4 linked regions of the Arabidopsis thaliana genome follow. The protein of the gene in region 4 interacts with the protein of the main gene of each other region in a pairwise test. Each region holds a gene or a part of one and is shown on either strand. Other genes may lie near its edges. The genes, in order: AT1G16170, LPAT2, AT3G28220 and ERG28.

Region 1 (6,389 bases), 2.3 Mb from region 4:
GGACCCACACTGAAGGCCACCCGACATCCACCAGCTTACCACTTTCACCAACTGAAGTTGACCAGCCGGTTAGGAGCATTGCAGAGTACATGCTCGCAAGGGAGAAGATGATGTGGAAGAATGCGTATGAGTATGAAACTGGTTTTTTATTCTCTTTCTCTTCCTTCTCTTCTGCTTTCCCGTCTATCGGAAGCAGAGGCTTCTCTGAAAATTTTCATTGAAAGGAAATACGTTATGATACTTAGAAGCAACTCTCAAACACTCACACAACAAGGTTTCAATATAGGGATTTAGAATATATGTTTCAGTTCAGGTTTGATTCGAGTTTCCGAATGAATCCTTATCTTGCAATATAAGGAGGCAAAGTATAGGAGAAGGTTTTTTTTGTCAGAAACATACCTGCGCGAGGAGAATCAGGAGGGGAGAGAAGAGTAGTGGAAGAACCAGCACGAACAGCAGAATAAACAACCGAGAGAACAGTTGTGAGTAAGCCAATGGTCATTGTGCCTGTTGAAACAGCTTTAGAGTGATTGTGGAGACCATTGCACTCGTAATCCCGGGGTTCACTTGCAAGTCCACTGTAACAGAGGTACATGCAGTACAGAGATATAACCGATGCTGGTAAAATGCTTCCACCGACCTGCAAAAGAATAGGTTAATTTGACTTCAGTGAGCCTGAAATTGGGAATCAAATAAGATCTCAGATAAGAGAAATATAAGGTTTCAGTCAAAACTTACAGTAGGATGCAAAACTACAATGGCAAAGACGAATACAAATATCAAAGTCATGATAATGAAGAAGGTGTTGAGTCCACAATCATGTCCAGATGGAGTAAACCAGTGGAAGAGAAACCCAGAGAAGACGAATGTTGCCAAGTAACATACAAGAGAAACAACGAGCAAAGCAGCATACCTATATATAAAAGTCAAGTACTTAGATTAGTAGTGGGATAATGAAGTCACATGATTTAATTGCAAATATATTTACTAACCAGAACTGCTCGTCGTAGCCAACCCATGTGTCATTCCATCCATGAACAAAATCCAAAAGAAGTACAACTTGAACAAGCAGGAAAAATCCAGCACCAAACTTTGACATCGACTCTGCAAGATGTAAAATTGATTCCCATTAGTTCCAAGTTAATCGATTCACTAATCACTTTGCAATGATAAACAGAAACTTACCATAGAAACTGATGATTTCATTTGGAAGGAAGAACATAAAGATGACTAAAATGCACCAACAGATTATTTTCATCATCCAACCACCATGGTGTATACCATCACGAGGGTCTTTCTGATTTTTCACACCGATCATCATAACCGATAGAATAGAGAAAAACAAGAAATTCCCTAAGCTGACACGCAACACAGCATCAGTCTCAAACCATTCACGATCAGGTGTCTTGTGAAAATGGTTAATCCCTGCACACAATGTCAATGATTAGTTGCATACACCAAAATAATCTCACGAGAAGTATAATAACAAAAAAACTTACAAGGGAGCTTCTCCATGAGAGGAGCAGCAACTTCACGGAGAATCCATGAAACGATTAAGGAAAGTGCAAAGAGACCACAGTAAGCAATTCTAGCAGAACGTCTGCTGATCCCAGAAACCACAGTACGGCAAGCATCGCAGGCACAAGCAGCACAACACGATGCGAGACAAGAAGCTGCAAACATCTTCTTTCTCCTCTCAGATTAAAGGTTGGATTCAATATTCAGCTGCTAGTATCAACCAAAACGCAAACACAAATCATCAAAACACAAATCATCAAACAAACAAAAAAAACTAATTTCGGATGGAGACGGTAAGAAAAGCAGCTTTTTAAAGACCGAATCGAAAATTAATCAATTTTGCTCAGAGATAAACAGAATTATTTGGAATCAATTGAAATTGGTTAAAATAAGCTGAAATTTATCCCCAAATTCGAGATGAAATCATAGCTCCCGATCTAAAGCTTCACCCGAGAAACCTAGCTTTAGGGATTGAATTTGACCTCTGGAACAAAAGAAGGAAAACGAAAATCGCTTGAGAAAGAGAGAATCAAAATACCTTGCGATCGATCAAAAACCTTGAGCTATCCTCTCCTTGAAAAGTAAAACAACTCGTTGTTTCTTTATTATCTCGCTCCTGATTTCGGACTTTTGACCAACTTACAAAGGAACTAGTAAACCATCAATACCAAGTTTTCATGTTTGGCCCACTAATGGCCCAAATTATTTTAATTTCTCCTTCTGTTTATCATGCATGGGCTTTTGATTAAGATAGACCTCTACTAAAACCTTGCAAGTCTCCTTACAAAGAAAAAGAAAAAAGTTATAAAAAAAAAACTCTAGGCTATTGGGGGTAAATAGTTTTGGTTTGGATGCTAAATGCTAACCGGCTAAAGTGATTCACGGCAACGGCAACTCAGTCTATTAGGATTTCAGTGCAACTAAAACAATGTATTTTAGACTTTTAGTTTAGTTGGAAGCAAACCAAAATATTGAACACCTCATACTGTCATACAAATACAATATACAAAAGTACTAAACATTATCGTGATTACTAGAACATGAGTTGTCTTCTCGTTAATGATTAAAAAAGTTTATCTTAATACGTATTCGTAAATGCCCTCTGGAAGCTGCAAGAGTCAGATCATAGTCCTAGGTAAATGTCATCACTCATCATCGGATTCTAACAACATGCCCATCATCTTCAAAACACAAAGGAGTGGAAGCTAACAAACAACGCATCATCATTTTTTTGTCCTCTTTATATATCTTCTTTCCTATTTTTTATCTTTTTATTGTTTTGTATATAAAATCCCTAAATTCCCGTTTTATGTAACGGACATAATAAGCCGCGTACGGCGTATCCGGCAAATCGGCCCAGCTCGAGCCATCATCAATCTACGGAGGAGATCCATCTCTCTCTCTCTCTCCATATCGCAACAACACTGCTGAAGATTTCGGGGGTTGTCGACGGAGCTGGAATCTAGCTTTTTCTTCTCCAGATCTCTAAACCGATTCTCACCGGTTCGTTTTCTAATAATCTTTCACCTACTTCGGATCTGTTTCCCTCGATTATCCAATGTGCATCGATCGCGAGTTGTTGTTGTTGTGTATTGTGATTGATGATTGATTGAGAATGACGTTATTGTTGGCAATTTGTTGCTTTCATTTTCATCTTTCGTATACGATCCAAGCTCTTTTGTAATTATAATTATGACTAATGTCGTTTCCACAACCAATCAAAACAGCGATATGTGTCTCGAATTCTTGTTTCTCATTGACATTTATGATGGTTTATGATGGAAAAGTGATCTCCCAAATGTTACATTCAATCTGATTGTGATGATCTCCTTTTCATAGCATGTTTATGTTTCTTGTAAAATTGTGTTAAAACGACTTGTGTGTCAATTTTTGCAGGTTAATTGGTATTATAAAGCCATGGTTCTTGATGGGCTTGTATCTTCACCGTCAAGGAGACAACAATGTCTAAAGAAGCAGTGGGACGAGTTGGGTAGCTGGTCGACTCTTATTCAGAGGCATCAATATCTCTTAACAGCTTTGGCTCTTTTGGCTTTCCTCTGTACTGTTTATCTTTACTTTGCAGTCACTTTAGGCGCTAGGCACTCGTCCTGCTATGGCTTGACCGGGAAAGACAAGGCAATGTGTCAATTACAACTTGTTCAAGCTCTCTCCAAAGGGAAACTTAAATTCTTCTAGACTGTTTATCTATCGGTGAAAGTTTGAAACCCCCACATTTATTGTTCTTGTACTAAAACATTCTTTTTCTTCTTTATTCTATAATGCAATTTGTGTGTATTATTACATGGTGAAATAAAACCAGAGATTCATAATTGAAAGATAACTTTATTTCATCAGATGAGATGAGAGTATACATGTGCACTGTTTTGAGTCGGATCGTCACCTCCGGTTGTATGTCAAGCCTCTATTAGGCGCTCTTATTAGAGCTCATGCGTTTCTGTATATTTGGGAATTCTTACCAGCGGAATGATGATAGCAGCGGGATATAACTTCTACTACCTACACAGGTCGAGACTCTGAAACTGAAACCATAATGCTTGAAGTCAAACATTTTCTGACACATCGTTGACTCCTAGACAAGTAAGTTTTTCCAGTCATCAAATAATACATTCAAGTCACACCAAAAGTCCACACTTCATTTTCAAAAGTACATGTTAACTTCGAATTTCAAATACACTTTGTGGCTAAAGATGGATGACTTGCTGCCGAGTGATCTTATTGATTTTCTTGTCACCATATACATTACATAAAGGCTGAAATATTCTTGTACACGCTTCCAGAATCATTCTCTGCTGATCTCCATGACTTGGTCCTCTTCATCATCATTTTCAATATGGGCCTCTAAATCTTCAGGTGATGAACGGATCCTCTCCAGCTCGAGTGAAGCCTCTCTCATGTTTGGTCTTTTAATCCCTTTCCGGCTAAGACACTTTCGAGCGAGTTTCGCCACTGCCATCAGTTGGTCAAGCTTGCTTTCTTCTTTGATCCGAATATCAATGATGTCAATCACTCTGTTTTCTTTCATGGCCTCGAGGAAATGAGTTGCCAACCCCCTTCCTTCCTCAGAACGAATTCGGGACAACGGTTTTTCTCCAGTTATGAGCTCTACCAGGACAACCCCGAAACTATAAACATCGCTCTTGTCAGTATATTGGCTTGATAGGAAGTACTCTGGATCCATGTACCCAAAAGTTCCTGCAACCATTGTTGTCAGGTGAGTTTGATCAATGGTTACCGATCTTGATGTTCCGAAATCAGAAACCTTAGCTCCGTATTTTTCATCCAATAGGATATTGGTAGTCTTGATATCTCTGTGGTATATTGGAAATGATGCAGCTGAGTGCATGTATGTTAGAGCTCCCGCGATCTCTATGGCTATGCGAAGACGCACTTCCCAAGTCATCGCATAATCGTCGGATTCATCATGAAGGCGCTTGAACATATCTCCATTGGGAATATATTCGTAAACCAAGATCGGAACCTCTGTTTCCAAGCAACATCCTATTAGTTTCACAATATTCCTATGGTTAATCTGTGAAAGAAGGATGATCTCATTGATGAACTTTTCGAGCTTATCTTCATCGACAACTTTTGATCTTTTAACCGCAATGATCTTGCCATCCACCATCATCCCCTTATACACAGTTCCTTGACTGCCTTTCCCAAGCACCCTCTTCACGCTAAAGTTATCGGTGGCTTTCTTCAACTCTTCTGAGCTAAATAGCCTTGACATGTCTACATTACCGTCATTTGTAGTAGTTAGTTGTTGTTTTAACAACAAGCCTCCATTACGTTTGAAGAACTTCCTGCTACTGATGATCCTCCTTCTCTTTTTTATAAATATAATCAACCCAAGCGTCCCAACAACTAAGAACAATAGTCCCATTAAACCTAAAAGAACCCCTGCAATAACAAGAAAAAACATAAATAACACTGTTTTCTGCTCTACCTTAAAGGATGGTAGATGCAAGGTGCCATTGGAACTCACCTTGTAGCACGAGGGGTTTGGCCGGCTTGATTATCTTGGGCTTGGGATCGCATCTATAGCCTCCAGGCACGTTCACACAAGTGCCTTCTTCACAGATATTAGGTCCTTTGCAATCATCATTGTCTGCATATATATCAATTATCAGTATTAATGATCTGATTTATTCTCAACGAAAAAAGAAGAGGAAACAAACACTTACCAATGCAACCTCCTCTAAGGTATGGATTCCCTGTGAAGCCAAGGGAGCAATAGCAGTTCCTATAACTCATTTCGGAAAAGTAACCATACTCGCAAAGGCAACTATCACCGGATAAGTAAGATCCCGAATATGTCAGATTTATACAACCCAAGGGGTTCCTAAAGCGTGAATCCGTAGTAGCAAAGTACCAACCTAGCTCTACCACCACGTAGCCACCAGCATGGAACTGTTCTGGTATAGTAACATTTGACGGGGAATACCTCTTGCTAGACAAGAAGGCAACCTTGCATCCATCTCCTCCTGAGCTCTCTATATTGACACCTACTGCTTGTGGACGTTCCACCGGTATCCTCGCCTGGCAACATTTGTAACCGTCACATAACAAGTTTGTTACTTCTTGACTACTCTTGCTATCTTTGCAGCTAGATTCACAACCCAAGATCTCTGATTCTATATCCGTCATCAACGCCTTAGTACCGCAACCCACAGCCACGAGGCGGTTCTCGTCGGTGATGAAATATGGGCTGCCCTTGCCCGTGACGTTTAAATCCGGTAGCGACTTTTGGGGTACTTGACTAGTATTACTTGAACAACCTAACGAAGTCACAGGACCTTTGATGTGAACCACTCCGTATTGTTCATTATTACCTTCTGGAAGAGAGATGT
Region 2 (8,837 bases), on a different chromosome or scaffold from region 4:
AAACCTTGAAAATCTGTTTTTAAACCATTTATATAATCTATAACAAGTATGTGATATGTAATCTATAAACTTGTTTCACCACAAGAAGAAGAAGAATCTCTAAGGAATCTTTTTAGTTCTTTGGCAACTTCAACCATTTTTGGAACTTCCCCTCTAAGACCAATGCATCTTTCCGAGAGGACAATGAAAGCTTCCATTCGACAACGCTCTTCTTCTGTAACATCACCTATTTTCTCTAACATGTTTGAATCGACAATCTCATCAATGCATTTTGCAAACTTTCTTCTGTTTTCAAAAGTTGTCAAGTCACTCCGATCATAACAAAGCTCATGAAATCTCTCTTCTCCCATCAGAAGCTTTTGCATAAAAATACCAAATCCAAACGCATCAGTTTTCTCCGAGACAATACCATTAATCAAATAATTATCATCCATGTAATCATAATCTCCACCTATACAACCATTACCAAGCTTCACAAATGTTTCTCCTTGTGGAATAGAGACACAGTAGGAGAAGTTACACAACTTAGCAACACCATCTTCATCATCCAATAAGATATCTTCTAAACGCAGAATCCTATATACGAAAGGTCTTGGAAACGCAGTGTGAAGATAAGCTAAAGCAGTTGCAATCTCCTCTGCTATTTTCAATCTTTGTCTCCATGACACAACCATTTTCAGATCTAAACTAGTAGGTTTCTTTGATGCACGATAAACCAAAACTGGATGTTCAGATTCAAGACAACATCCAACCAATTGCATGAAGTTTTTATGACCACTAACAATCGATGAGATGGCTATGTCACGGCAAAAGTTTCCTCCGTTATGCTCACTAAATCTATATCTCCATTTCTTGATGAGTAACAGTTTATGATGATGATGATGGTTATTGTTTTTACCTGAATAATACCAATCGTATGGAATCTCATCGAATAGTTCAGAAACACGATTGGATTCGCTGAAAGTGTCGGTGGCTTCTAGGATTTGATCAGCGGAGAATATTTTGATGGGATTTGCTTTGCCATTGCAAGATTTGATGATCTCTTCTAGCAATGTCCCACCTCTCTCGTGTCCTCGGACCAATCTCTCCCTTTTAATTATGGCTCGTAAACTCTTCTTCTTCCACCACTCCATCTCAAACAACAACGAAAAAAAAGTTTCTTTTACTTTTGAGGATAAAATGACCAAAGATTGAATGACGAGTTGAAGACCACACACCGTGTTGAAAAGTTGTAACGTGAAGTCAACGAAACACCATTAAGGAGTAAGACTTCGTTGGAAAAGGTTTATCTTTTAGAGCAGAAGAAGACAAAAGTTGTTGAAAATTCTTCACCTCTTTGTCTGTTCAGCTCCCTTACTCTCTCTTATACTCTCCTCTGTTTCAAGACAAGCACAGAGAAACGTTACTCCCTCTTATGTTTTAAGTATAAAGACATAAACGTTTTGGAAGAGAAGAGAGAAACTGATTTACTATATTGATAGTTCGGATCCTTATATTGATGAAGCCATGTTTAACGCAATTCTATATGAGTCAGAGCATCAGTGCATCAATTCACAGAGCAGAAAAAGTTCCTCCGTTTTTGCTTTGAAGATTCTTTCTCAAGTTTCCATCTTTCTTCTTCTGGGTTTACATAGTTCTGTGAATCACAGACTGTGATCAGTGGCAACGAACACAGAGAACAAAGATGCATTAAAAGACAAATTTATTCATTGTTTTGTATTGATAGTTCATATGTAATTGATTAAAGAAGAAATATGCGTAAGAGAAGACTAAAGAGTACATTTGGCTAAACCCTTTTTTAAAAGTCCCACATCGACAAGCTAGGGATCGTTGGTCATAAGCTTTGTAGTATAAATAAGAAGCTGAGCCATTCGTTCTAATCATACCTTTCTCGGCCTTTTGGCTAAGATCAAGTGTAGTATCTGTTCTTATCAGTTTAATATCTGATATGTGGGCCATCGGCTCACACGATATTAACTCTATCTTTTAAGGGAGAAAGCCCGCTATGATAGCTTGCTATCTGGGCTTCCACGAGTCGCCCATGCGTTGCACTACTGCACGGGCCTGGCTCAACCCGCCAAACTAGAAGTGAAACTTTTAAAATTTTAGTCACTTTTGATGTTTAGTTTTTAAAATGATGTAGGATTCTTTATCATTCAAAGTCCAAAACATCCAAAATATACGACAAGTAAAAATCTGTGAAGTAAATATATGAACTTTTGCTTGTCTCTGGCAAAAATCTGAATGGTAATGTTTCAGACTGAAGCCAAAATGGCATTGGCATTGTCTCTGCGTCATGTGTGTCTCATCTGCGATCTACAGTTTGATGGATAATTTGCAGAATTCTCAATCAGCATGATGCTATGTTTATGAATCATGTAAGCAGAAACGACTCCTGTTTACGTTATATCAATGTTTCCATGGGTTTTGTTAGTTAAAGATTGCCGCTGGAAGCGTGTGCGTATACTATCACTGAGAAGAAAGATGAAGACAAGCCAAAGATGATCGTAGTAGCTTAAGGAACTCAAGTGGATTCAGACATCACTTTAGAGATCGAAATAGGGTTTGAGAATTGGAAAACAGTGTGAAAATAAGCTAAAGCAGTTGCAATCTCCTCAGTTATATTCATTGCAACGTTCGATGAGATCTTCTAACAGCATCTCCCCCCTCTAGCTCTTGATATCTTATTCCTCAACTAATCGAGAAACACTTAACTTTGAAAAATAAAATGACAAAACTTGAAGACCTCACACACTCTCAGTTGATCAAAACGAAGAACACTAGCTAAGATATAAAGTCAAGCTGTCGTTGTTGAATATCCCACAAAGTCGTCCTTCCAAGAAAAAGCTCACAACAAGACTTGCGGACTAATTTCATAGTTCTTTCTACATCACCTGAAAACTAGTTAGGAAGCTAAGGCTTTCTCTGTTTTTTTTTTGTTTGTCATTGTTCCACTGGTTCTTTGCTACAATTTAGGAGACTAGAACAAAACTAAATTTTTTGTTTGGTTATACAATGCAAAAAAATATCTGCAAAATAAGTGATTTAGTCTCTAACCGAGAAAAAAGTAATTAAAAACAGAGCAATTACTAACTATAATTTCTGGTGTCATTTTGAGACTATAGTTAAAACTTACAAGCAATGTTTTACATAAATCATTTTTAAAATTATAAGTAAAAATGTTGGCGCCTCAGTATTTCAGGTTCGATTCCCATTGTTCTTTTTCAAATTGGATAATTTAGTCCACATTGACAAAAAGAAAGAAAAATCATAATATGTTTAAGGATGCGTCAAGTGTATGCATATATATTGTTGTAAAAAGAAAAAAGGTGTATGCATACGTTTCTAACATATTTTGTCTGGCAGTCAACTATTTGTTATGAATATGTACAATCACATAGAAATGATAGCATGTGGCTATGTTACGTGAATTAAGGCAAATGATCTTACGTAGGGAAAATTGTAACTAAAAACTCAACAACCCTTATTTGTTTTTTTTGTTATCTTTTCCACTTTGCTGCAAAATTTATTGGAGAATCTGAATAAAGCGGTGAGCATAGTACAGCTGAAAATAACTAGATGATGAACTTGTTCTTTAGTTTGTTTTGATTCTTCATTATATTTAAAGAAAATTTGGTTAGATAGATCAACCACTTCAACAATACTTTTGTAACTTCAAATATTTAATAACAAAAAAATTAAAAAATGTTTGAACTTTACTGAAATGAAATTTCGATATTAGAATACTAAAGAATCAAACGTGCACTTAAATATCATTTAGTTTATATTTATACAAACCATGAAAGACTCTCATACTTTACACCGCACATAAACAATCAGAACCATACCAAACCATGTGAATAGAATCACAAAGACGTCATGCTTTAATTTACAAGCAAAAAAACAAAAGGCATCGGCTAGAGAATAGCAAAAAGAGGAAGAATTGAACGGAAAAATTGAAAACATATGGAACAAAGTGGAGCACTTAAACATCCACGGTAATATTAGTATATTAGTCACCTTCAGACTAGGGCCAGACATGAACAAAGGATTCGATGTTAGTGACAAGTAGCATATCAGACTAATAAGGATATATATTAAGCGGTATGGGTAACACATTAATCCTTTCTCCAATTACATTCTCTTTAAGGTTCTAAGATCCGCCACTAGGCCATTTTATTGGTAAAAGTAAAACCATTTTGGTGGTCGTCTATGAGTGTTAAGAATTATGTAACAATTTTTTTGGATTCACCTGAAATAAATCTGTTGATTTGAAATATTTGGACGTTACATTTCCATATATAAGCTTACCATACAAACATTATAATTAATTGGAAAGTCCAGCTAGCACTTTTTACCACATGCAAAGGGAATTAATCCTAACTTAAAAAATTAGGAGTAATCACATCTTGGTAGTGTATACCGATCAATTTCCGACAGACGTTTTTTTTTTCCTTGCCCATTGATTGCATAGTTCAAAACTTCAAAGTTGGCCAATCCAACCAAGTCGAAGAGATAGGAGATGTTTTGAAGTATGAAAACAAATAGAGGGGCTAAAATCAAAATAACAAGAAAAAACGCTTCTGCCGTGTTCGAATGTGTCCTCGTGATCATCTCCGTATATAATCAATCAATCAATAAAAATCCAGAGTTACAAACACTCTTCTCAAAATTTTCCCATTAAATCGCAAAGTTAATTTTGCGATTTTTTTTCTCTTTTTTTCTGGTTGGGTTATTTATTTTCCCCTTTTAAAAAACTTCTGCAACTTGTCTTGAAATCTGGGGTAAAATATTTCTTCATTGGTTTCTGGAAATCTCGGGGAACGATTTGTTGGGTTTTCTTCTTTGTACTCTCTCCTCACATTAGCTTTTGTTGGTGGGATTTTTTGAGGATGGTGATTGCTGCAGCTGTCATCGTGCCTTTGGGCCTTCTCTTCTTCATATCTGGTCTCGCTGTCAATCTCTTTCAGGTTTGGTTTCTGATTCGTTTCTGGTGTTACTCTTTTTAGATTCCGTTGTTGTTCTACATTGTAGATCCTTTCTTCTTTTGTTTTGATTCACTGCTTTTAGGGTTTCCTTCTCCAGAAACTTTGATTCTTTCGTTTTTGTCGGTGATTGTGTCTTAATTCTGAGTGTGCATATGAGAGTATAAGCTCGAAATTGACTCGTGGAGCTCATGCACTGAGCTATAGAGTGTTGTTTGATTCTGCGATTAAGTATCACTTTCTTCAGATTTATCTTGATTTCTATGTTGATTGAATCGAGGAAGGAATCTTTTTTTCTCTCAACTTCGTTTGCTTCAGTTTTGATGTTTACTACTACATATTGTTGTTTCAGGCAGTTTGCTATGTACTCATTCGACCACTGTCTAAGAACACATACAGAAAAATTAACCGGGTGGTTGCAGAAACCTTGTGGTTGGAGCTTGTATGGATAGTTGACTGGTGGGCTGGAGTTAAGGTATCCACAAGCTTTCTCCTTTTTACTAAATGGTTGTTAAGCTTGGATTTTGTTTTATCTTATCTAACTCTATGAGTTCCTCTCAAATTTCTTGTTTCTTTTCCCTTAGATCCAAGTGTTTGCTGATAATGAGACCTTCAATCGAATGGGTAAGTTCATATGCTTATTGGCAATCAAATCAGTTTCTGATGTCTTCAAGATATAAAATTCCTATGTAAGAACGAATCTGTAACTTCATTGACTGTCCTACTATTTTTTTCTAGGCAAAGAACATGCTCTTGTCGTTTGTAATCACCGAAGTGATATTGATTGGCTTGTGGGATGGATTCTGGCTCAGGTACATAATTTCACCTCACAGTTTCATCTATCTTCCTACGTTTTTGTTTGAATGCATAAATGGAGATCAACATAATAGACTTCTTGATGAGAAAGCATGTATACTTGCAATGGGACCATGTATTGCTTCCAAGTATCTACTTAAGAAAGATTATCTTAGGTAGAAGGTGACAGTCCCTAGTGATCATCTGATGAGATATGAGAGAGTATAGCATCATCATATTTTCTCTTAACACGCTCCCTGTTATGCTGTTTACATCTTTTAATCTATTGTTTCATATTTTCTTTCCTTGCAGCGGTCAGGTTGCCTGGGAAGCGCATTAGCTGTAATGAAGAAGTCTTCCAAATTCCTTCCAGTATGTGAATATTTTAGCTTACTGCTGTGTGCTTGCTAGATTTGAGAGAAAATAGTAGTAATCTTTAATTCTATTTCTGAATCTCTTCTATAAGTTAGAAATTTGATACCTGGCTTTGCGTTTGAGAAAAAATCATTGTTTTAGGTTAATACACTTCTCCGCCTTTTTTATCTGTTACATATTCATAGTACTCATAAACAGAATTTTCACACACATACAGGTCATAGGCTGGTCAATGTGGTTCTCGGAGTATCTCTTTCTGGAAAGAAATTGGGCCAAGGATGAAAGCACTCTAAAGGTATGGGTTTATAGTATCCTTGTGCAACTCATTTAGTTTTTGCTCCTGTGTAAAATGCTTATTAGCACGTGCAGCTACCTCGTTCATGAGGGGATTAGCCTAAAAATGCAGAATCTTCATTTCCAGACCATGAGTTATGTGTGTTTGTCTAAATTTACAGTCAGGTCTTCAGCGCTTGAGCGACTTCCCTCGACCTTTCTGGTTAGCCCTTTTTGTGGAGGGAACTCGCTTTACAGAAGCCAAACTTAAAGCCGCACAAGAGTATGCAGCCTCCTCTGAATTGCCTATCCCTCGAAATGTGTTGATTCCTCGCACCAAAGTAAGTTGTAATATTTTTCTTTTGTTCATTCCTGGGGCAACTTGATATCTTCTCTGTGTCCTTTAAAAAGCAAAATGATTGCTATGATGATCCAAAATCTCAATGCATGGGTAGCCTTTATACGTTTCATTTTCATCAGATCGACTTGGTGGTTGTTATTGTGATTTCTGCCCTAATTACTAGACTTGCTTGTATTTTTGTTTCAGGGTTTCGTGTCAGCTGTTAGTAATATGCGTTCATTTGTCCCAGCAATTTATGATATGACAGTGACTATTCCAAAAACCTCTCCACCACCCACGATGCTAAGACTATTCAAAGGACAACCTTCAGTGGTAAGCAAGCAAAAATATGAATAGGTCGTATAGCAGTTGAATCTTGCACTCTTCTCACAACAAATTTCAAAGTATGCACTGGCTTGGATCACATCACCATCCAATTTACTGAAACGAACATAACTCTTTATATCACCTTTACTTTTATAATGTGTAAGAAACCGTAGGACTCATCCCATCCCAAGCCTTTTTCTTTTAAAACCTCCTGCGCCATTAACGCAAACCATTGCTGCTGGTTTCAAGGTGCATGTTCACATCAAGTGTCACTCGATGAAAGACTTACCTGAATCAGATGACGCAATTGCACAGTGGTGCAGAGATCAGTTTGTGGCTAAGGTAAAAATTATGGATGTACTGGTATTTCCACGTTTCAGTTATTGGCAATAATATATTTGGTCAAGATTTGATAGAGAAAAGCTTGGAAAAGCTTTCATTTTGGTATTCTCTCATCTCGTCTCTGTGATACAGGATGCTCTGTTAGACAAACACATAGCTGCAGACACTTTCCCCGGTCAACAAGAACAGAACATTGGCCGTCCCATAAAGTCCCTTGCGGTGAGTCTATAAAATTCATAACATTCTCTTGGTTCCATCTATAAACTCACAAATCTCTTGATCTTTTTCTCAGGTGGTTCTATCATGGGCATGCGTACTAACTCTTGGAGCAATAAAGTTCCTACACTGGGCACAACTCTTTTCTTCATGGAAAGGTATCACGATATCGGCGCTTGGTCTAGGTATCATCACTCTCTGTATGCAGATCCTGATACGCTCGTCTCAGTCAGAGCGTTCGACCCCAGCCAAAGTCGTCCCAGCCAAGCCAAAAGACAATCACCACCCAGAATCATCCTCCCAAACAGAAACGGAGAAGGAGAAGTAAAAACTGGTTCTCACAGATCCAAACATCAAACACAACAAGAAGAAGCGCGTGTCAGTTTTGTTATAAGAAACAGAAAACCAAAAAAAAAAGACATCCAAATGAAAAATCCCTTAATATTATCAACTCCGTTTTGTTCAGCTACTATATTACTACTACTACTACTACGCAGCCTATGTCTCTTAGTCGATTGATGTATAGGGTCATGATCAAATCAACGATTTAATCCCTATAGTCCCTTGGGATTTTTTTTCTCAAGTGCATAGGCCTTGTATAACTTTCTATTTTTAGATTGGAATTTGGGATTGATATTAGACATTTTCCTTTTATTATTAAACTGTTTTGTTCCTTGGTTCTCATTGCTAGTGTAGAATTTATTAGGCACAAAACATGTTATTACAAGACGTTTTAGAAGAAAAAACAGAATTTATTCATGTACATAAATTATCTGACTAGACTAATCCTACTGGGACTTAATTGTGATTAGACAAAAAAAAATTCATTTTGAGAAGAAAAAACAGAAACCCGTTCATGGAATTAACTGAGATTAGACAAATTCAACTACAGTATGACGGTGATTACAGGGAGAATATCGTAAAAGAACAGGTTTTATTTTCTTCCATTTTTGATAGAACACATTTTTTTTTTTTTAATGAGTGTATAATATAATAAACACAATTTTTATTTTAGTTTTCTCAACCCTAAAACTAAAACCCTTTCACGCCGATTCAAAAGAAAAAAAAAACCTTCACAAGTCCGGTTGCTCGCGCCGCTTTTCTCTCTGTTTTCAAACTCCGATTAAAGTCCCGACTTGTATCAATTGATAAACCCTAATTGTCTCCGTTCTTGCTGAAACACT
Region 3 (7,979 bases), on a different chromosome or scaffold from region 4:
TGTGAAGGTGTTTTGTTTGGAGCATAGATCATACAAGTCACATAACTGTCCGAAATCCGATCATGGGAGCAGAACGGTTTCCATCTGTGAAACATGTTCAATAGCGATTGAAACAACTGGTTTTGATGAAAAAGGAATCAAATCTTTGCTTGAGAAACACGAAAGATCCGGAGATTGTGATCCAAACAAGAAAAAGAAACCAACGTGTCCTGTAAAACGTTGCAAAGAGATTCTGACTTTTGCGAATAACCTTACTTGCAAATATTGTGGAGTCAAGTTCTGTTTGAAACACCGGTTTCCGACAGATCATGTCTGTAACAAGAAGATCATTAATACCGCGGGAACAAGCTCGAGGTGGAACGAGAGGTTTATGGAAGCTTTGAGTTTAAGAAACCAGAAAGGGTGTGGAAGAGGGAGCTCTGTTTCATCAAAATCTTCACCATCAGTTAGATCGTTTTAGTTTCTTCTCTTGTAACAATAGTTTGCATCAACCAATTCCTTCTTTATGTTCTCATGTATTTTCCATTGTTTGCAAGAAAGAAGATTAATATTTTCATGAGTAATATTTCGTAAGAGAAGGAAGAAGAATGTTTTTATTAATATTAACTTCATTGGGAAGTTTCTTCTAAATTTTTAGATTCGGTTTTGGGTCCAATTTTTTGGGTCGGTTCCAATACTCAGTAAGAAGACTACTTAGAAAATGTAAATGTGGTGCAGTGTCTGTAATCTAGATTGCATATACATTGAAGAACCCAAAGATTGAATTGTTGTTCGTATGGCTTAAATGAGGTAATGCTGAAATCGATTTGTGAACAAAAGAGAATATGTGATTAATATCATTAACATAATACTCAATTTTGCTGTACGCTAATCGACATTTGTTTCAAATGGACCGATATAGCTATGGTTGAAGAGATGGAAGAGGTTGAGAGTGTTGTTTACAAGACACAAGTAGATGTGTGATCCTTAGAGAAAGGTTTATATGATGTGGGAGCTGAGATGGAGAGTCTAGCAGGTGAGACACGCACATGTGTGACCATATCAAGTAGCTATGGAAATGAGATTGAAGTCATCAAAGCATTTTTAAAAGGATGTGAGAAGGAGATTGGAGAGCTCAAAGCCATGAACTTTTGTAGTAAGAAAGAGATTCAATCTCGACGTTACTTCAAAAATTTTATCGGGTGTAGTTTAGTTATGGTTTGTAGTCTATGTTTTCATCTTTTAAGTATGAAAAGTTAGTATGAGTTTGTTGAGTTAAGAGTTCTGATTGTATTTTATTGGATTGAGTTTGAGTTTCAATTGAAAGTTGTTGTTTGGGTTTTACATAACACAAACATTGGGCCTTAATGGGCCAACGAAATTGGCAAGGTGAAGAAGAACAAAATGTGGGCAAAAGTTTGTTGCTCATTTAAGTCACCTATATATGCATTACAACGTACGACGTATAGTGGAGGTAGGTGAGAAAAGAATCTAAAAAGAGTTCTAGAGAAGAGAGATAAAAGAGCTTCCTAAACAAGCTTTCTTCTTCCTCTTTGTTGTTCTTGAATCTTTGTTCTTCTTGAGTGCAAATCTGTAAAACCAAAAGACATCATCACAAGTTAGTGAAGCTTGGGAGCAAGAGATCTCCCCCGAGACCCCGAGACGTAGCGGTTGAGGCCGTGAACTCGGTTACCAATTTCTGTGTCTGTTTATTTTCTTACCAAGCAATCTCTATCACTCTTTTCTCCACAAAAGTAATGAATAAATAACATAATAATGTTGTATATAACATACCAAACCCGAGGCAATTACAAGACAAAAACCATTATCCTACAAATTAAAAATTCAAGACAAATAGCCAAAAACCATAATCTATATCTTGAAGCCGAGATCATAGTCAAAACCATCATCCCATCATGTTACACATAAATCCGATAATCCAAATTAAAACCATCATCCTGAACATCATAAGTTTCCCAAACCAAAAGCTTTTACACAATTAATCACTAAGTGAAATTTGTGATACTTGATTCGGACCTTGATAAGAATGAAAGTGTAATCCTTTGTATTTCTTATCTATCAATCCAATTACAAAGAATCAAAACCCTAATCGATAAGCTTGAAGTTACAGTTCTCCAATCTTATCTCCTAAGAACAGAGCACATGCATAAGCCCTAATTCTACTCACAACATCAATATGATCACGAAGGATGCTTTTCTCTCTACTCTCTCTTAGACTCTTACTATTTATAAGTTTCTTCACACGTGACTCCGATCTCTCACTTCAGTTCTCACACGTGCCAACTTCTCATGAACGTATCAGACCTTCACCAAGTTGTTTTGTGGCCGACTTTTAGCTTGGATTCCAACATTAAAAATGTCATTCTCATCATCACCTCCTCTAACATCATTTCCATCATCACAAACTCGAGCATTCTCACCATTGACGTTTTCACAAGCTCTTTTCATCATTACATTCTTCAAGAATCTATTCCTTCTCCGTAAATATAACAACCGCTTTTGTCCACTTTGCAGCTAGACACATTCTCTCGAAAATATCATCTCTAGTATACAACGGTTCAGCTCTATAAACTTCTCAAAAGGAAGCTTATACCGTATCCTTTGCCCAAACAAAGACAATCCCACCGACTCCATCATGTTATTAAAAAAATTTTCTTGCATGCACACAAGTGTGTGAATCTGGCCTCCATCATATGTAAAAACATTACCGTCTGTACAAACAAAAAAAACTATTTTTGGCGAAAAAATTATCGTCGAAATATTGTTGGTAGGAAAAACACAATTTTATTTTGTTAACTTTAAACATTAAAAAAATAAGGATATATGGTTATTAAAAATTAAAAGAGAGTAATGAAAATGAATTACATGAAAGGGTAGAATTAAAAATGAGTAGCATTGGAAGGTCATTCCTAATAATTTATTTATTATAAATTCTAGATATTTATAAAATAAAAACTCAAATATTATTATATATTATACTATAAATTAATAAAAAATATTTTCTACAAATAAAAACATTTTTTAAAAATTAATTATTAAGCATTTAATCGATAGTTTTGATACGTATATAATAAAATATAGTTTTTAGTCTTTGTATTGATTACTGAAGTTCTACATTATAGCTAAAGCTAAAGCTAAATCCAAAAACAGAGGCTAGGATCGGAACAGAAGAACAAAACTATGTTGTGGTGTAGAGCGTTTGGGTCCATTTCTTGTTGTTAGCTAAAGCTATGTCTGGAGTGTTTGACGTTACATGCTAAATTTAGGTACAACTTAAACTTTTGTCTTTTTCTTGAAAACACGTGTTGAACAAATCTTTTCTGGTCGATAACTCAAGAAATCTTATCTGGTCGCAATCCATCTTATACCGACGTGAAATCTCAAGACACGTGAATATATAACTTGTTCATAATAACATTATCACTTTTATCGAACGCACAAAAGATCCTCCGCTATAAATATTTGTGGTGAAGAACTCTTTATACCAAACAAAAAAAGCTAAATACCAAATAAATGTTGGTACTCATCATACATATATAACTAACTCACCTTTTTGGTGTGTAGATAAATATATCTAACTAACTCCATTACATATTCCAGTCATTTGCTTATAAATTATAACCGTCACACTTACCAATTCAGTCACTTAACCAAACATGTCTGAAAAGGGGTTGATAAAAAAAGAAGACCACATGTTTCAAGAGGAGAAGAGAAAGACAAACTATGGAGCAATTGGCTTGGCTTGCTTCATTTCTTGTTTCTTTGCATTCCAATTCATGAAAATCGTAACAACACAACCTTCAACAACAACAACATCATCCATTGCCGTTATCGATAGCCCAATGTCCTCCCATAAGCTATCTGATAGGAGAGAAATATGGAGAGTTATCCCACCATCTACCTATTGTCTCAAAATCGAATCTTTCATAAAATTCGCCACTTCTCCAAACGCCGAGAAGTACGAATCCCGTCCTTTTGAATCCGGTGGATACAACTGGTAAGTAGTATTTTATCCTACATTTTGCATATGTCTTTGCATCACAAATTTTCAACGACACATTTGATTGTAAGACTATATATCCTTTTGCAAACAGGACACTTATTGTCTATCCTAAAGGAAACATTAAGGAAGGAGCTCCACTTAATTACGTTTCAATGTACGTCCAAATAGACAATTCAACACTCCTTAACTCTCCAAAAGAAGTTTACGCAGAAGTCAAATTCTTCATTTATAACCGGAAAGAGGACAAGTACTTAACATATCAAGGTATATACATCCGAACGCCCTATTTATATCTTATTTATAAACTATATTGTATTAATCAAATTTTCAACGTTTAAATTTAAAACAATTGAGACGCTGATAGTTTGCATAGTTTCAAATGCCAAAATTTGCATTTAAAAACACACAATCTCAAACGCATGTCTTGGTACACAGAGACGGATGCAAAACGCTTTTTTCTGTTCAAACCATATTGGGGATATGGTAATGTTAGACCCTACACCGACGTGGCTAATCCCAATGCTGGTTGGCTTTTCGACGGTGACAATGTTTTATTCGGTGTGGACGTATTTGTCACTGAAGTTTTTAACAAATGGGAAGTGTTCTCATTCACTAAGAGTTTGCATGACCGCCTTTACAAATGGACGTTACCCAATTTCTCGTCACTAGAGAAACAGTACTATGTCTCTGACAAGTTCGTGATCGGTGGGAGAAGCTGGTGAGTTCCTCATGTCATAAATTCTTTAAGCCACATATTGATACTTAGTCCTGGATGTTCGGTTATCCATTCCGTTATCGGTTTTTTCGGTTCTAAAGTTATTATCTATTTGGTTATTTTGAAATTTCGGTTTGGTTCTTTCGGTTTTAAATTTAGTATCCATTCCGTTATTTTGATTTGAATATTTTCGGATATTTTAATTATTTTTGGATATTTCGGTTATTTTTGGATATTTTTGATTATTTTTGAATATTTTAACTATTTTATATATATTTTTAATTATTTAGTTTAAAAATAACTAATATTTTTAATTATTTAGTTTAAAAATAACTAATATTTTTGGAAATATATTTATATTTCAGATATTTTGGTTATCCGGGATATTTTGGTACGTAGCCATTTAGTTTCGGTTCTTTCGGTTCTTTCGGTTATATATAGAATTTAGTATCCATTTGATTATTTTTTAATTTTTGATTCCGTTCGATTCTGTTATTTTGTTTCGATTTTAGTTCGGTACATTCGATTAGGTTTATTTGCGCAGGCTTACTAATACTGATTCAAGAAAAAATTAACTATTTACAATATTTTAATATACAACTCTTAGGGCTTTGAAAGTGTATCCAAGTGGCGATGGCGAAGGACAGGGTAACTCGTTGTCGTTATATGTTGTTGCGGTTGATGTTAAGCCGTATGACAAGATTTACCTAAAAGCTAAGCTACGGATTATAAACCAGAGAGATTCTAAACACATGGAGAAGAAAGGTAAATTATATCGAACCATAATAGTGTGGCTAATGTTACTTACTCTATTAATTTTTTTCTTTTAGAGTTTAATTAACACTAACTTAATGACAGTTGAAAGCTGGTCGGATCAAGCAAACAGTTGGGGATTCCAGAAGTTTGTACCATTTGCTGATCTTAAGGATACTTCTAAAGGTCTTCTTGTGAATGATACATTGAAGATGGAGATTGAATTTGAAGATTTCTCTAACACAAAATACTTTCCAAGTTAAGTTTTGCATAATGCAAAACCAGAGAGCTTGGAACCAATTGTGTTCTGTTTTTTAAGTGTTTTTGTGCTAATAATTGGAGGATTGGTCTTCCTAAGGTTTAGGAGCCTATCTCCCACTTTTCCCAATTCCCTAGTTTGTAGAAATCGTTGATTCCAAGCTAGCTTTTCTTGTACTTGTTTCCTATTTAAATAAATGAAAACTAAGAATAAAAGCAGTCTTAATTTACCATTGAAAAACTCTTGTTCTTACTTCATTCTAGCTGCGACTAAGACTAACACTAACCGTGGAATAACACTTCTAAAATCAACCGAATAAGTTTGCGCGTATGATAGTAATTTGAAATAATAACAAGCTTTGCGCACCAACAATAAACATCGATCATGTTCTTAAGTTTCACGAGTGCTTCTTTGTTATTTGCTCTCTTTCATCTGTTTGTTACTCTATTATTTCTCTGGTTATGTAGTGTATATAATACATATAGATCTACCAAGCAATTCATAATGTATAATATATCTGCCATGTATACTCTATGTAAATTAAGCTATGTAACCAATCCATACTCTTCTTTCATTGTATTTTTAACAATCATCAATAAGCAAATCAAAATTACCAATATCTAATACAACTCGTTCCTTTTAGGAAATAAATAAGAAGCAAAGAAAATACTCTCTACTAGTTGATGAAGGCTTGGAAGGGAGATGACAAAACGTACGTAGCAAATCAAAGAGGAAAATCCAACCCTATCCACACAGTTTTTGGCTCTTTGCTTGCATCACAAGTCACAAAGACACATTGATTCTAAAACCATTCATTTGGAAACAGAACACTTATTGATTATCCTAAAGGAAACTAAAGAAGGGAGCTCCAACTCTGGATGGTTTTAACTTTACGTCCAAATAGACAATTCAAGATTCCTTAACTATCCTAAAGAAGTTTAGGTTAATAAAAAAGTTTTGCTCTTCCTACAATCTCTAGTGTTATCAAAATCTCATAAAAAAATTGTAGACAAAATAAAAATAAAAAATATAAGCCGCTGATGTTAAGCCCTACGACAAGATTTACATAAAAGTTAAGCTACAAATCCTCAGCCAAAACGATTCTAAACATGTATAGAGAAGAAAGGTAAATAATATCAGAAACATAACAGTTTGAGTAATTACTGCTTACTTTGTTAAGTTGCCCTTTTCCGTAATCTTATTCGCATTCGAAGCTTGTCGGTTGGAGGCGAGGAAGGGATCCGATGCAGCCAATGCGGGAGAGCAAACCTGGAGAAACATGGGTTAAAGAGGTGTTCAAACGGGCTCCAGTCTCCAGCAAAGCTCATAATGCGACCATCGCTACTATATTCCAACTTCTTGTGACGCCGAAACTTGCCTTTGAGCAAGCTAGTAGATACTAAACATTTATGCATCTCACTCCACAAATACATTTTATTAGCATCAAAAGGGTTTATTGCCAACGGAAAGTAATCTAAACCACTCTTGATACAAGCCGGAGATATTTCAGATACTATTTCCCATTTCCCACTCTTTAACCTCCATACACATAACTTAAGCCCTAAACTTCCATCATCTTTTTCTTCATTGATAATTTTCATATACATAAGAGATCCTTGGGATGTTGTGAAAGCTCTTCTAAAATACACATCGTTTTCTAGATGAGGGAACTCTATAACTCTGCATTGATCAGATTCCGTACCAGTAGCATATAAATTGTGGGATACAACAAGGTGATCACGATAGTTGTTGTAGCAAAGCCAGTAAAGGTTTCCATTCAAGCTAACAGGATTGAACCAAGCAACACGCTTCAAAAGATAAGGAGATTGGACAGTGTTGAAACTCCATAGGCCTGTCTCAGATGAATATATGAGTAAGCTAATGTCGTCGGTATCGGTGGTATCTTTCATCAGAACAACTTTGTAACCTAAAACGACGCCGTTTTCTATTCGTGTTGCAAGTCCAGAAGGTTTGTATATATCAGCTCTTCGAGGCAGACGAGGAAGAGGAGGTCACATTGTCGTGAAATTGGATTAGCAACATAGTAGGTCTGTTTCAAACTAACCAAAATCAATCCTACATCAGTGTAAGCCTCGACAGTAACCTTTTCCTTGTGGATTCCGAATTTGTGTGTTAGGAAAGAAGAGATGTAAGAGCCTAAAGATTGTGTAAGTCCCCAAGTGTCGCATCTGTAGTGAGCAATGACTTCTTTATGAGTTTCTCTGCACATGAGTGACCATGAAGGATGC
Region 4 (7,334 bases):
GTATTCACGACCTAACCATTGGAGGAAGCAGTCGTCTTCTTGGTCTTTCTGTGTATGTCTCTGGTTTTTAAGTGGAGACAAACAAGCAAGCACAATTTACATTTTTCCCATTTTTGCATTCCCTCCTTTCGTTTGCTGTATTTTCCTAAATTGTCCAATTCGCCTTTATTATACCACAACTTTAATATTGGTACCAAACCTTTTTAATTTTGTTCTTTAATCCCCTTTTTCATTAATATAGACGGTTAAGCTACATCCACCGATGAAAAAATCATTTGAATAATTTTTAATTACATTCTATAACTATAAGTCATGTTGTAAAGAGTTTGTTATTAGAGCATGAATATTCCATTATTCTCTCATAAAAAAAGAATTAAATGAGAAAATTTGTCCCTAATTCTTTTTTATTTCAAGTAGCCCCCTAAATTGTGGCTAAACATCCGGTAATCGTAACAATGATGTAGATTGGGTAACTCTCTGCTCGAATGTGACGCTTATTTTGGCAAATAATGTTTCTTTGGTAAACATTTGAAAGTTTTTAAACAATTTGTTTTGAGTATTTAAAATACGTACGGATAAAGGGTAAATCCGAAATTTAGAGTTAGTTGAGGGCTGGTAGAGAAAATTAAAAGACATTGGAGCACAGCTGGGAACAGGCTGGCGAAGAAGTGCCAGGTCGGAGAGAGGTTGACGTAATTTTCTTTTGTTTGGTTTCTCTCTCTACCTGATAAGTGACCAACCACACAAAAACATAGGGCTCCACTTCTTTGAAGTTTACGAAATTACCCTTGATGCTTACGTGTACATTCGAGGCTCTGATTAGTGCCTTGATCGGGGAGAATCTTTCCGCCTCTATGCGGAACTCACGTTTTCGTGTCAGTCTCATAGTTTTCTGGTTTTTCCTTAACACACATTTTATTCAGATTAAGAGATTTCTTTTTTCTTCTGTTAAATTTATTTTATTTTTAGTTCCGTTTCATAATTGGCGTAGCTAGTTTCCAATGTATTTGCTAACAGTGATGAAAGATGAACACTACGAAACATTTAAATTTTCTTCATGTGCATGAGTTTTGGAATGATAAACTTCCTAACATTATTTACACCATAGTGAAGTGTTCTTGGTTATTTTCCACAAAGTATTCTTGAATTGTCTTTGGTTATTAATAGCCATCGGTCTAACTTTTCTACATTCACCTAGAAACAAAAGTTTGATCAAATAAGGAAACAAACACTTTTTAGAGCCACAAAACTTTTCTACATTTGTGTACAGTATGAAATTAGTAAGGTGTTTTAAAGTTTCGAGGAACCGTCATTTAAAAATGACATCAAATAGTCACCTTTTCTTCTACTGCAAAGGTAAACTCACCACTCTATTCGCTCTGAGAATGCAGCTTCTGTATTATATAGAATACAAAATTTCTAAATTAAGAAATTAAATAATGCGTGCGAGTCAATAAAATAAAAATAAAGTAGAATTCTTTGGGGATTGGGCGAGAGATATGCGTGCACGTTTACGACAACTTAGATTCAATTTCTTTTTTATATAGTAGTAGTATTTGTTTAGATAAGTAGCTGAACGAGGATCGTGGATGATAGCTGTATTTTTTCTGCTTTTTTTGTTTTTTAATGACATTCATTTATAGAGGATGAAGGAAATGTCTTCTTCTTGCCTCAGCAACACAAAATTACGTAAACCATATTTTTGTTTTTACAGTAGTAACTGTAGAGAAGTCCATCAGAATATTACAGAAGCCCAATTGAAAAGCCCATTTGAAACCCACTGAATTAAATAATAATCGAATTCGGCGGAGACTCCAACTATTGTCGGCCCATCAAACAGTTTCTCCGGTGGTTTGAGAACTAACTGAAATGTACGAAATTAACCTCCGTGGCTTACGTGTTCTGATCGGGGAATCTTTCCGCCGAATCTGAGTTTACGTTTTTTTTTGGTGTCAGTCTCATAGTTTTCTGGTTTTAAAACGGAAAATATATGCGTTAGGGTATTGTTGGATAACGAGGAAGGAGTAAACGAAGGAAGAAGAGGGAGATGAAGGCGTTGGGGTATTGGTTAATGGTGGTTGGTTCACTGAGACTAGCTTCTGTTTGGTTTGGTTTCTTCAACATTTGGGCTCTTCGTCTCGCTGTCTTCTCTCAGACCACCAGTTCAGTTCTCCCTTTTTAATCTCTATTTTAAATTGTTCTTGATTTGATAGTGTGTTAGCTCCAACGATTTAAATGGGTGATGTTCACATAGAAACTATAGATAACTTCAGATTTTCTTCTATCAATTGACTTCCTTGGTCTCTGAGCTAGTATCTGTGAGTTAGTATCTATGGAGGGCACGTGAATTGGTTGTTTCAATGAGAAATGATAATGTCAGGTTCAGAGGAACCATTCTTGTGGAAATTTAACAATTTGTGTCTGTGATTTGAGTCTTCCAATAAGGATCGAATTTGGGATCCCTAAGCTTTGAGATCTAGAAAGATAGTGAGGAATTAGAATATTGTTTTGTTTTCCTGGATTTGATCTTGATTCTTGCTAGTAGTAGTAGTACATTGCATATGGAAAGTCAATGGTTTATGAATCTTGTAGTCAACTTTGAGGTTTTAAGAAGGAAAGCCGGATTAGGATTCGTTGAACATATTCATGATGCTCTTTCTACTTGCTCTTATGTGTTCTTTTAATTGTCAAGTTGAGGTAGTTGGGATTGAAAGCAACACTCATGAATTAGTACACCATAAGTATAGCAAACTGAAGCAACGTATCCAAGAAAGATATAGGCAAATCTTGTATGTTGTACAGTTCCTTGGTGAAGTAACTTTTTTAATAAGTGGACGGCCATGTCCTAGATATCAGGAAAGGGAAGAGTATTTGGATCGAGAATTGGGTGGGAATGATAAGAGTTTACATACTCCAATGCATAACCTTTTTTTGTGGGATCTTTGTAAAGTTTTTTCTTAAAGTACTGTTGAAGTAAATTAGTGATCAGGTGAAGTGAATAAGATTTTGTATATGTATTAAAACATAAGCAACTTGAAGTTTCTTTTTTCCTTTCTGTAACTTGTGGTGCATGGAACATTGTTTTTTTTCTTCCTGTGATTGCAAAAGGTCTTGTACATGTTTTGTTCATCAGTTCTGATAACACAAGGACTAATAACTTTGCATCATCTAAGCTACATGAGAACCGGGAACACAAAAGATTTATCTAGACAAAACTAGTTCACATAGTTGATGTCTCTATTACTTAGGTTATCTCAGGCAATGGGGCCTTCTCGGTTCACAAGAGTCCTGTACTCATTACTTGAATCTTTTTATTACCTGTTTTGCAGTGAGTGAAGTTCATGGACGTACATTCGGAGTATGGACACTCTTGACCTGCACTCTCTGCTTTCTTTGTGCATTCAACCTCGAAAACAAACCATTATACTTGGCTACGTTTCTATCATTTATCTATGCGTTAGGCCATTTTCTGACTGAATACCTCTTTTACCAAACAATGACCATCGCGAATCTCTCAACTGTGGGCTTCTTTGCAGGTATAATTTGAGGCATTGACCATCACTCACTCTTGTATTGAATCAGTTGATGTAGGTTGCATTCATATTGTGAATGATCTATATAATGTGTTCTCTATAACAGGTACATCGATTGTGTGGATGCTCTTGGAGTGGAATTCCCTTGAACAACCACACTCCAAACTTTCTTGATGTTAGTCCACATCTATGTTTCTAAGTCTCTCGTCTTATAAGCTTTTCTAAAAGTGGGAATCATCTGAGTTTTTGCTCGATCCCTAAAGCTGTTGATTCATTGTTTCATCTAAATCTTACGACATCTTTGATGGAGTCTTGAACTATGAGAATATCATAAATTCATGGATTATATGGTTTCTTTTTAAGTGTTGTTTATTGCTTTTAAAACAGAGATTTGAGTTTAGTGTATGGTTGATAGTCAACGAACAGGGAAACTATTTCTTGCGTTCCCTTTTTTATTTGTTTGTATCCAAAATGATTCTATTTTCCATTTTCCCGGTAACTGAGAACAGCTAACAAAACAGATAAACCTACTAATAGTGTATAGTAACATTACTAGATGACAGAATTGTGATAATATGACTAATGTATTTCCCCTAGTGAATTTAACTTGTGAAGGAGCTTGCCATCTTCCGTTATCTCACAAGTCACACCTATGGCTCAAAATTGTCAATCATGTGTTGTATAACATCTGCTCCAGCTGAATTGATCATCTTTGTTTTCACCTGTAATGTTTTCCAAATGTGAGTATGAAGTTTAATAACAGTAGCAATGGTGATGATGATGGCGACAATGATGAACACTTGCCTGAATGGTATTGTGAGCGAGAAATCTTTGCAGCGTTCCTCTGAAACTAACATCAACTCGTTCCCAGCTCAGTTTTGTTAATTCTCTTATCATCTCCTCTGCATAAGTTTGTTGTATTATGATGACTAGAAATCAAGAATAAGAAACACGAGAATGAGTTTTCCACTGAACCAACCTTCCATATCTAAGTTCTTGAACCTGTCTGCTTTGGTCCTTGAATGATCTTCCTCATAGTTACTTGCAGTATCCGGTGCTTCAACATTCACAATGTGAGGATACTTCTCATTGACTGGACCACGTTGAAGCTGCGAAGGTTATATCATTATATGTGAGACTTGATTCAGCATAACATACACAGCATTATCTTATTAAACACTGAAAGTGAAAGGTTTAACCTTAGGAAGCTCATTGTGACGCCGGATAGACGATGTACTCCACCCAACAAGGTCTAAGAACAAAGGAGGTCAAGGTTTCAAATGAATTGTAATAGCCACAACAGTTCTGAGTCTTTTTTTTAAGCTCAATTCACATTGTCCGATCAGTGAAGAAGTAGAGAATTAGTTTAAAGACGTCCAACAAAGAAAGGATACGGTCGAAACTTGTATTCGCGTAAGCAATACGCCGTTTGAAGCATTGCAAAGCAGAACTGTTCACAAAAGCAGAGGAGACATTAGAAATCATTTGAACTACGCAAAAGCCTCAATCAGCTATATATAGAAAAATCATTGAAGGAACTCACATGAATTTAAGATCTCTAGAATCTTTAACCATCCGGAGGAGTAATGGAGGCTTTCCACCATCACTATCAGCCAGAAAAAGATGTTTTCCCGTTTTACCAAGACAACCCGACATACGCGTAGCTAATCTCTCCAAAGTGTAAGATCCAGAAAACAATGGGACCTAATGCAGTCAAAATGCCACACCATTAACCAAATTGTAACTTTTCATGTTGCAAAATTCCACAAACTGTATCAACTATCAAGCTTACAGGAGAATGAGGCATAAAAGGATCTCAACTTTGCTGTAAACATATTGACAGCTTCAATGTAAGAAAACCGTTTTCAAATCACCTGTTTATGTCCTCTTGAACCAAGGTGTGGTGTTGCAGAAGTTATAAAATACACAGGCTCTAATCCAGCGATTCTTGCTTTCGGTTCCTCTATCGAGCATTTATCACCAATGTCGTCACTATTATGTGGAAGCTCTTCTCGGGATTCTTGCTCATAAAGACGCCCAATAGCATACCTAGCAATCAGGCCACCTAAAGAATGTCCTACAAAGGAAATCTTCTGAAGACTTGGGTGACGTTTGATCACCGACCTAACCTAAACAAAAGAGATTAAGAATATCACTTGAGCTGGAAAACTCAAGCAGAGACAAAGATAGAAACTTCTACATAAAAGGTTCTAGCATTGCGAAAACATCTAGCCAAGCGGAAGACAATATAACATTAGATAGAAACAACGCTGAAATATAAGCAGCCTAAAGATAAGAAACACAAACCTCTTCAGCTAATCTTTCTCCCATAACATCAACACCATCAAATGTCTGTGTGGAATGGTTGCGTTTACTGCCTGCAAAATGATTATAAAGTATCACAAGCCATTATTTAAAAACTATTATAAAAATCCAGTAAAGTGAGATCAAAATATCTAAAGTGTGATTCTTTCTTCCTTCCAATAATCAATCTGTTTCACTTGAGACTTCCAATCACAAATTTACTATAGACCATTAGGAGGAAACTCTGTTTTAATTGAAAAAATATAGAGAAAGAAGAACTCACAGTGAACGAGGAGATCCTGAGGATACTTCTTAAGCATCTGCTTAGCGGCGAATCTCCAATTCTGAGCACTGTACCCACACACAAAATTTAAAATCAGCTTAAAATAGAACAAAATCAAGCACATAACATAGGAAACACTAAGAACCTGCCGATGAGACCGTTGACCATGACGACTAGGTGAGTCGGCTCAGTGCGTTCGCCAGGGAAATCAACAGTCAAATCGACGTTTCCACTTTCGTCTGATTCAGCTCTGAGACAACCCATCCAATACTTTTTCTTCTTCTTCTTCGTCTCTTTATCATCACTCTTCCTGCTTCTCATCTTCTTCATCTTCTTTGGCTTACGGATTCCTTCAAGATCACTTCCAACACGCCCATCTCCTTCTGTATTCTTAGGAATCACGCTATCTTCTTCCTCCATGATCACGAAACGAAGAATGAAAAATGGAAACTTTATGCAGGTGTTAATTCAAGGTCGCCACTTTGGGAAGATTCGAAGGTCTCGCGTAGGTTTTTATAGACTTCAAACATCAAAAGTTCAAATGGTCAGAGAGAAACAGAGAATAGTTTCAGTCGTTAGGGAAAGTCCCCACAGAAGTATTTGTTGTCGTCGTTGAAACGCCATTGACATTTTCTTTCTTACACATCTGAGATTTGGACACTGTTGCTTTTTCTAGAACACAACACATGTTATATAAAGTCATTAACTTGATTAAATGAGCCAAAAATGTGATTTGGCATAAGTTAAAAAGCATATTCAGACATGATGATGATAATTAAGATTATTTTTATATAATAACTTTAAAAGACAGGCCCGGCCCATTTAATGTCAAAGATTGGATCCAAGTTTTGCCCAGAGAAAAGGAAGCTTCATGAATCATGAGTTTGTTTCTTCTTCTGGAAGAGTCAAACAACAATTTTGACTTTTTTATCAGCAACCACAACGTCGAAAGCACGACATGAATCATTAAAAAAAAAAAAAAAAACCGACGAGATTTTTGTACCTTTCTTCTCCGAAGTGTTGCTGATTGATGTCTGTTGGATTTCTCTTTCTTCAACTAATCACCTTTCTGTGTCCTCTCGCTTCTCTCTTCTCTTCTTTCCCATTCAAAGGTGAGATTTTTAATTTGACTTTTTTTTTTTGGGTTGACCCATTTCGAATTTTTATCATCTACTGGTTAATGTTGTTGATTTGATTATATCCGAATTTAGTAC

The links.
Region 1: the proteins of ERG28 (region 4) and AT1G16170 interact in a protein complementation assay, tested with the Arabidopsis thaliana proteins (one large-scale study listed by BioGRID).
Region 2: the proteins of ERG28 (region 4) and LPAT2 interact in a protein complementation assay, tested with the Arabidopsis thaliana proteins (one large-scale study listed by BioGRID).
Region 3: the proteins of ERG28 (region 4) and AT3G28220 interact in a protein complementation assay, tested with the Arabidopsis thaliana proteins (one large-scale study listed by BioGRID).

What each region holds. Positions count from the first base shown.
Region 1 is NC_003070.9:5,536,199-5,542,587, reverse strand, and holds AT1G16170 (ephrin-A3 protein), read left to right. Parts: upstream 1-2,585; 5' UTR 2,586-3,021; intron 3,022-3,414; 5' UTR 3,415-3,435; coding exon 3,436-3,714; 3' UTR 3,715-3,922; downstream 3,923-6,389. Other genes in the region: AT1G16180 (Serinc-domain containing serine and sphingolipid biosynthesis protein), read right to left, coding at 1-204, 400-640, 739-913, 993-1,104, 1,186-1,425, 1,500-1,683; WAKL5 (wall associated kinase-like 5), read right to left, coding at 4,319-5,439, 5,525-5,647, 5,724-6,389.
Region 2 is NC_003074.8:21,344,859-21,353,695, forward strand, and holds LPAT2 (lysophosphatidyl acyltransferase 2), read left to right. Parts: upstream 1-4,524; 5' UTR 4,525-4,892; coding exon 4,893-4,970; intron 4,971-5,337; coding exon 5,338-5,460; intron 5,461-5,569; coding exon 5,570-5,609; intron 5,610-5,723; coding exon 5,724-5,797; intron 5,798-6,092; coding exon 6,093-6,152; intron 6,153-6,372; coding exon 6,373-6,450; intron 6,451-6,610; coding exon 6,611-6,769; intron 6,770-6,975; coding exon 6,976-7,101; intron 7,102-7,344; coding exon 7,345-7,437; intron 7,438-7,569; coding exon 7,570-7,656; intron 7,657-7,729; coding exon 7,730-7,981; 3' UTR 7,982-8,335; downstream 8,336-8,837. Other genes in the region: AT3G57640 (Protein kinase superfamily protein), read right to left, coding at 63-1,133. UniProt on the Arabidopsis thaliana protein: Converts lysophosphatidic acid (LPA) into phosphatidic acid by incorporating acyl moiety at the 2 position. Has preference for C-18-CoA substrates compared to C-16-CoA substrates. Required for female but not male gametophyte development.
Region 3 is NC_003074.8:10,520,764-10,528,742, forward strand, and holds AT3G28220 (TRAF-like family protein), read left to right. Parts: upstream 1-3,417; 5' UTR 3,418-3,656; coding exon 3,657-3,997; intron 3,998-4,094; coding exon 4,095-4,267; intron 4,268-4,438; coding exon 4,439-4,721; intron 4,722-5,325; coding exon 5,326-5,483; intron 5,484-5,576; coding exon 5,577-5,734; 3' UTR 5,735-5,970; downstream 5,971-7,979. Other genes in the region: PMZ (zinc finger (AN1-like) family protein), read left to right, coding at 8-460; AT3G28216 (uncharacterized protein), read right to left, coding at 2,515-2,661; AT3G28223 (F-box family protein), read right to left, coding at 6,906-7,714, 7,792-7,979.
Region 4 is NC_003070.9:3,271,925-3,279,258, forward strand, and holds ERG28 (ergosterol biosynthesis protein), read left to right. Parts: upstream 1-1,828; 5' UTR 1,829-2,047; coding exon 2,048-2,162; intron 2,163-3,329; coding exon 3,330-3,536; intron 3,537-3,639; coding exon 3,640-3,707; 3' UTR 3,708-4,029; downstream 4,030-7,334. Other genes in the region: AT1G10040 (alpha/beta-Hydrolases superfamily protein), read right to left, coding at 4,184-4,255, 4,338-4,435, 4,513-4,642, 4,733-4,785, 4,928-4,983, 5,077-5,237, 5,408-5,662, 5,841-5,911 and 2 more; AT1G10050 (glycosyl hydrolase family 10 protein / carbohydrate-binding domain-containing protein), read left to right, coding at 7,151-7,232, 7,332-7,334.